Anolis sagrei: one gene and its partner. The protein of the gene in region 1 interacts with the protein of each later gene in a pairwise test. Links are inferred from orthologs where the notes say so. Each region holds a gene or a part of one and is shown in the gene's direction. Other genes may lie near its edges.

What was found.
Region 2: the proteins of SYT6 (region 1) and ZBTB43 interact in binary tests that used the Homo sapiens proteins (3 or more experiments, as listed by UniProt). The two-hybrid records come from large-scale screens. The link is inferred for Anolis sagrei from reciprocal best matches to the Homo sapiens genes SYT6 and ZBTB43.

What each region holds. Positions count from the first base shown.
Region 1 is NC_090024.1:202,976,490-202,980,416, reverse strand, and holds the start of SYT6 (synaptotagmin-6), read left to right. Parts: upstream 1-1,247; 5' UTR 1,248-1,775; coding exon 1,776-1,917; intron 1,918-3,927.
Region 2 is NC_090031.1:7,994,817-7,998,743, forward strand, and holds the start of ZBTB43 (zinc finger and BTB domain-containing protein 43), read left to right. Parts: upstream 1-1,270; 5' UTR 1,271-1,393; intron 1,394-3,162; 5' UTR 3,163-3,174; coding exon 3,175-3,927. UniProt on the Homo sapiens protein: May be involved in transcriptional regulation.

The sequences.
Region 1 (3,927 bases):
TGAGCCTGACAATACAGTTATGTCTCCTCTCCCCCACCTGAGAATACAAAAGATGTATGACTGTACATTGGCTTAGTTCCAAACAGGATGTCGTCCATCTATCGATCTGTTTATCTTAGCATCAGCTTACCTTAGTCCACATTTTGTTAGTTAGTTTCCTTTTGTTGTGTGATTTGTTAGTGGGTGGTAAAAATAGCCAGGTTTGATTGCTCAGCACAATAAGTCCATACATCTCAGCCATGGCCATTTTACACGTACATTTTGGGAAAGGATAGATGAACAAGAACTTGAAAAGCTAAGACAGAAGCTTGAATAGTTACTACCTTGTTTCTTGTATAATCCATTGACATTGCAACTAAAGATATGAAGGGAAAAGCAAGAGTGGCAGGAATTATACCACAGAATCCTACAAAAGCCGTACAAACTAACAATGAAGTTACAGGCGACGTGGAATTTTGAAATTAATGCTGAAAGTACAAAATAGCAGATATGCATAAGTTTCTCTCCTCAGCGTCTTTACTCTATTCATATGTTTATAAGGCTCTGCTAATTCCTCCTTTAGTCTTCTGTTTCTTTTTAACTATTTGACTCTTCTAATCTCCCTCTCCGTTTTTGTCTTTTCTCTCTGCCCTTTGAAGTAAGCAAAATACTATTGAGAGGCCATAGCCAAGCTTTCTTCATCTATTTGTGACTTTTTTTAGGCAACAATGATATTCAAGTTCCACCTATCTGGAATTAGAACATGCTATTATTTTACACTAATTCATCATGATCCTGTAAAATTACGTTAACGGGTAATTATCTGACACTATATGTTCATTAGCATTGTTCCACACACCCACTTACTTATGATCCATGAGAACAAGGCTGCAGCCCCCTTATCATCTCTTATGTTGTTAGACTTGCTTCTTCTTCCTCCTCCTCTCTTCCACTCCAGAATTCATTTCTACTGAGTATTGTTCTAATTGCCCATTATGGGATCATTGCTCATGCCTGACAATTGGCACTTCCTCTACGTGCAGATTGGTTGCACAGCCTGATCTGGCAGTGGGAGCCCAGAAGTGGTACTGTAAATTAAAACAATGATCTAATTACTGAGCACAAAACAGGGCTGGCGCCCTATTAGCAATCTGCAGTTTAGCATGTTAGGGCTGAAATAAGCCAATAAATAAAACCTGTTCCCTCCCTTGTGCTGAAAACAGCATGTCTAGTAACCAATGGTGTTGCTCAGCTTCAGCTCTGTGTTGTGACAAGCTGTTTTGCTGCGCTGGAGGATTTCAATGCTCTCTCTCCCGCCACCCCACCTTGCATGAGCTCCAGAGAGAGCTTTACTGCTTCGTACAAGTCCCTGGCAATGCCTCTTCCACCACCACCTGGAAGGGAAGGCACAGCAATGAAGAGGTTAAAGAGCTTCTTTGGAATTTGGCTTTGAAAACTATGCAAGGAGGGAGTCAAAGTGAATTGGAGAGGAGGAACCTTGTGCAGCACACGTCTTGGCAGTAAATACAGCTCTCTGATATCGGATGCAACAAGGCAATCACAAGGTGCCGGTAGCAAGTGGTGGTTTGTTGAAAGTGGCATCAAGGTGGCACAGGCTCAGCCCAGAACTCAGCGTATATCTTCCAAGAGTGGCCTTCAGGGCGGTGAGGTGCCTGAATGACCCCAGGCAGTAGTGGATTCCTAGATTGTGTGACACTGTGAGTGTGCTGCTGTTATTCCACTGGAATCTCTCCTAGTCAGCCAGGTAGGAGGCAAAGGGAGATGCAGCTTGGGAAATGACCGCCACGAAAGAGGAAATCCACTGTCAGACAGCAGCTCGGATTGTCACGGACTTGTGCCGCAAGAAAAGCCTACCTCAGTTGGACCCAGATACCTGCAAGCAGTTCATCTTCCCAGACCTGAGTAATCCTGAGCCAGGTACAGTGCCCCCTGTTCTGTAGGGGAGGGCTTTCCTATTAATTGCCTAAAGAGACTGTGGGAGAAGAGGTCTGGCCCCCCTCCTTTCCTTTCAAAAGGGATGAGCCTTGTTCAAATCTCCTCCTTTATCCCTTGATTATATAGACATTTGCCTTCATCTTATTCTGTCCCTTGTAGCTGCATGTTGTTGGAAAGTTGGATGAAACCTGTTGAAAGCTGCAAGTTTTTGTAAGGAAGGCAAGCAAGGATAGAAGTGGGAAGAGTATGTGAAGAGGACATAGTTTAAAGCCAGGAGCAGGGGGATGTTGTTTCTGGTATTGAGGTTTTGGATTTTCATCATCTCTGTACTTCCAAAACCTTTGTCAGGGAATTGTGCCCCAACAAATTCACCTACATTTTTGTAAGGTTCAGTGTCTAGTCAAAAGTAAAATCACCTTAAAAAGAACTGGAGGGCAGCAGGAGGGTAATGGTAGAGTAATAGTTGAAATACTTTCTCCCTGTTTAAAAAGTGTAAGAAGAGAATTAATCTGAGGAAGTTATTAAATGTGAAAATAGAACTAAATTGAGATCACGTGTACTTTGTGTGTGTGTTTGAAAAGGGCATCTGTGTATTTGACTACTCAATGTTAATGTAAATAGAAGTATTGTTTACAATTATCTGAGCATCCCGCCATGGAAGAAATAGAGTGCCTTGCTAATTCTAAATACTCATTTCCATCAGATGATGGAACTGAGCACAGCTTTACAAAATTTGTGATGGTGAAAACAGGGGGTTTCTTTTTTAACTCCATGTCAGACTGTAGTGTTATTCCATGTCTGGATATTCTTTCAAACCAAGAATAGAAAGCCATTTCACAGCTTGCTTCAGGATTTATAGCAGAAGATATAGATGCCACATCATTAATGGTATTTAGCTGTGACAGGTAAAGGCGAGGAAACATTCCTCATTATTGGGATCCTTGAGGCAGAAAACTGTTATCTTGATGTCATGCCCTGTTTGTGATTTGTCTGAGAGGTTATTGGCCATCCACTTTTGAGAATGTAATGAAGTCTGATCCAGCAACTGCCATCCAGTAGGGTTTATCTTACATTCCGCACACAATAGTTTCTCAGTTGCACTGTAGATTTTCTTCTGTGATCTATATATTTTATTGCAATAATGGCTATTCACCTTAGAGGACCAGGGAGAGTTCTGTGCCATCTCTATGTACAAAGATACAGATGTCTATGCTTGTTGAGCATATGTTCCAATAAAATTTGAACATAGTTCTGCATGAGAGTTCAGTTATTGAAATTGCCTTCACTGTGCCCTTAAGAAAGATTTGCTTTGCAACTATCAGAGTCTGACTTTTCAGCCATAAGGCAAAAAGGATATCTTTTATTGCTTCATGGATTATTACAGTTTTTTTCTAATGTGCCAACAAAACATTTACAGCCTTTGACACAGATCTGAATCCCTGTAACCTACTGAGAACAAATTGAATAGAGAGGGTGGGGAGAAGAGGTAGACTCATGTTTGTTACTGACTGAAAACCCTGATCCTAGATGGGTAGAGTACTTGCAGCTGCGTTTGACTCACTCATGAAGGATTTGGGCTCTGCTGATACCAAACTGCCTTTGTCCTCTTTGAAAAGTGTAGAGTAATAATAGAATTGAACATCAGCATTCAGAAGGGCTGCTGAGATGGAGCCTTGATGCCAATAAATCCTGTTCATGAAGCATCAGAATGTGTTGTGGTAAATGTTTAAAAGCTTTCTCTGGAACAGTTTTTTTTCCAATAAAAGAAGTTGGGAGAACTTTACAAACTTTATATTTCTGACTTGCACACCTAAACCCTTTTTCTCATGGATTGCTCTGGATCATTGCAGACTGCCGGCTATCAGGATGGCTGCTGTGATTTCAGCAGGAATAACCTGATTTCTGAAGCTTATGCTGGACCTAGCAATGCCATTTCCTGAGAGCAAAAAGTCGACCTGCTGTTACTGACATAGAACAATGTCCTAATTTAGA
Region 2 (3,927 bases), on another chromosome or scaffold:
CTTAGCATTGAATGGTTGTGTTTTTAAAATGCGAAGTGTGGAACCCTGCGCAGACAGTCTGTCAATGCTGCGCCACAGTCCTGGTGTGAATGTTGCCATTGGCCAGCTTGATTAGCATTGAATGGCCTTGCAGCTTCAAAGCCTGCCTGGTTGCTGACTGGGGGGAAGCCTTTGTTGGGGGGTGTTAGCTGGTCCTGATTGTTTCCTGTCTGGAATTCCCCATTTTTCTGTGTGTTGCTCTTTATTTACTGTCTTGATTTTAGAGTTTTTAAAATATTGGTAGTCAGATTTTGTTCATTCTCATGGTTTCCTCCTTTCTGTTGAAATTGTTCACACATTTGTGGATTTCATTGGCTTCTTACATACTCTGTTATTTACTTATTTATTTACGGCATTTATATGCCGCCCTTCTCACCCCGAAGGGGACTCAGAGCGGCTTACAATATATAATTCCATACAATATAGTATATAATTAGTATAGTACAATATCAGTATTAGATATTACTATATTGCACTATACCATTATATTGTAATATTATTAGTAATATTACATGTAATGTAAATATATAATTATAATATTGTATTATTATTGCTAGTATTATATTGTATTACATTATAATATTATAAATATTATAAGTGTATACAATATACTATATTATATTATTAGTAAAGACAAGATGGAAATGTCTTCTGCTCCCCTCTGCCTTTGCTCTGGCCAGTACTCTATGCAAAAGTACACTCTAAAATTGCAACAGCACAACAACAGAGAGGAAGCAGGCTGGGACATCTAATTACCTCTCAACAAAAGTTTGCTCCAGGCACAGTCAGGCCATTGTATGCTAATCAAGGTGGTCAGTTGAAACATTCACACCTAGCTCCAGCAGACAAGAGTCCTTTGTCTCACCCTGGTCATTCCACAGATATATAAACCCTTTTTCCTAGTTCCAACAGGCCTCACTACCTCTGAGGATGCTTGCCATAGATGCAGGCGAAACGTCAGGAGAGAATGCCTCTAGACCATGGCCATACAGCCCGAAAAACCCTACAACAACCCAGTACACCATCCTTCCAGGATTCCATAGCTTTTGAGCCCCGGCTATTGAAAACAATGGCATCCAATTGCACTCATTCATTCATTCTACAGTGTGGCAATACCACAGACAACCAAAAGGGGGCGTCAACCAGGAAGTGCACCTCTGCTTGTATAGATCTATCATGCAAGTCTGTGGTTAACTCTAAAGGCGGAAGCGGATGTGGCGGGGCTAGAAAACCGGAAGAAGGAAGAGACTAGGACTTCCGGGCCTGAGTGGTGGGCTGGTGGAGGCGAAGCCTGAGGGGCTCGCCCGCCATGTGAGGCAGGAGCGCTTCGCCGAGGGCCTTGCCTTTCAGAGAGGTGAGGCTTGGCTTGGGCTGAGGATAGGGAAGGAGGGGGAGAGGGGAAAGAGGTGGGGCTTGCCCTGGGGGCATCTGCACTGTAGGATTGACGCGGTTTCATAGAATCACAGCATAATAAACTCGGAAAAGACCACATGGGCCACCTAGTCCACCCCCCTGCTATGTAGGAAAGGCACCATCAAAGCACCCCTGACAGATGGCCATCCAGCCATAATGATGATGATATTAGAGTTGGAAGAGACCACATGGGCCATCTAGTCCAACCCCCTGCTATGCAGGAAAGGCACAATCAAAGTAACCCTGACAGATGGCCATCCAGCCATAATGATAATGATAATAGAGTTGGAAAAAACCACATGAACCATCTAGTCCAACCCCCTGCCCTGCAGGAAAGACACAATCAAAGCACCCCTGACAGATGGCCATCCAGCCATAATAATAATGATGGTGATGACATAGTTGGAAGAGACTACATGGGCCATCTAGTCCAACCTCTTGTCCTGCAGGAAAGGAACAATCAAAGAAGTCCCTGACGGATGGCCATCTGGCCATAATTATGATGATGATGATGATGATAGAGGTGGCACAATCAAAGCACTCCTGACAGATGACCATCTGGCCATAATTATGATGATAATAATAATAATAGAGGTGGCACAATCAAAGCACTCCTGACAGATGGCCATCCAGCCATGATGATGATGATAGAGGTGGCACAATCAAAGCATTCCTGACAGATGGCCATCTGGCCATAATTATGATGATAATAATAATAATAATAATAATAGAGGTGGCACAATCAAAGCACTCCTGACAGATGGCCATCCAGCCATGATCATGATGATGATGATAGAGGTGGCACAATCAAAGCACCCCTGACAGATACCATGCAGCCATAGTAATACTGATAATGACCATTCAGCAATAATAATAATAATAGAGTTGGAAGAGAACACGTGGGCCATATAGTCTAATCTCCTGTCATGCAGGAAAAACACCATAAAAGCATCCCTGACAGATGACCACCCAGCCATAGTAATACTGATAATAGAGTTGGAAGAGACCACATGGACTATGTAGTCCGACCCCCTGCCATGCAGGAAAAGCACCATCAAAGCACCCCTGACAAATGGCCATCCAGCCATAATAATAATAATAACAACAATAGAGTTAGTAGAGACCACATGGGCCATCTAGTCCAACCCCCTGCCATGCAGGAAAAACCCAATCAAAGTACCCCTGACAGTTGGCCATCCAGCCATAATAATAATATGGCAGCTAAAGTATCAAACAGTATTAATTATATGGTATAAATTCTCCTACAGACTCAGCAATCCTTATCTGGGAATCCAAAATGTACCATAATCTGAAATTGTTTGTGTGCTCTATCAGTTGCTCTTCTGAACTGCAACAGACCTTGTAAGGAGCAGGGTGACCATGTTGTTATTGTTGTTGTTGTCTTGAGCAGAGAATAGATTGGTTGTTTGCCCTGTGAAAGAGAAGAAATAAATCCTCTTCTATCATGACTTTCCTATGAATTACAAATTGGAACATAAAAAGAAATATGTTGGACGTGTTCCACTATTTTCATCATGACCAGCGATGAACAGCCCAAAGGCAGAGCATGAGGGCAACAGCAGACTCCTCTTACATTCCTGAGAACTGATAACGTTTTCCTAAGGGGAAGTCTGGCTGGTCATGAGAGGGAGAAAACAAATCACAGCCCTGCTTTCCTATTCGTGAACTAAATATTGTCTTTCCTTGCAGTCTGCTGATGAAATGGAGCCTGGGACCAATTCTTTCAGAGTGGAGTTCCCCGACTTCTCCAGCACCATCTTGCAGAAGCTCAACCAACAACGCCAACAAGGGCAGCTGTGCGATGTTTCGATTGTTGTCCAGGGCCACCTCTTCAGAGCCCACAAAGCTGTCCTGGCAGCCAGCTCCCCTTACTTCTGCGACCAAGTGCTCCTGAAAAATAGCCGGAGGATCGTTCTGCCTGACGTCATGAACCCCAGAGTGTTTGAGAACATCCTCCTGTCGACCTACACGGGACGGCTGGTCATGCCCGCTCCGGAGATTGTCAGCTACCTCACAGCAGCGAGCTTCCTTCAGATGTGGCACGTCGTCGACAAATGCACGGAGGTTTTGGAAGGGAACCCGTCAGTGCTTTGCCAGAAGCTGAACCGTACCAGCGACCATCAGTCTCCAAGCAGCAGTAACTACAACGGCCTCGTGGAAAGCTTTGAGCAGGCTGACTTTCACAAAGTGCAGGAACTGCGGGATGGGGAGAACGAGGAGGAAAGTTCCAAGGATGAGCTGTTATCTCAACTAACAGAACATGAGTATCTTCCGAGCAATTCTTCAACGGAGCATGATGGGCTGAGCACAGGAATGACCAGCCAGGATGGGGAAGAAGGAGTGAGCGATAGTGCGGATTATCAATACACGAGGCCACTTTACAGCAAGCCGAGCATCATGTCTCACAAGCGGTGGATCCACGTCAAAACGGAGAGGTTTGTCCAGGACTGTGAA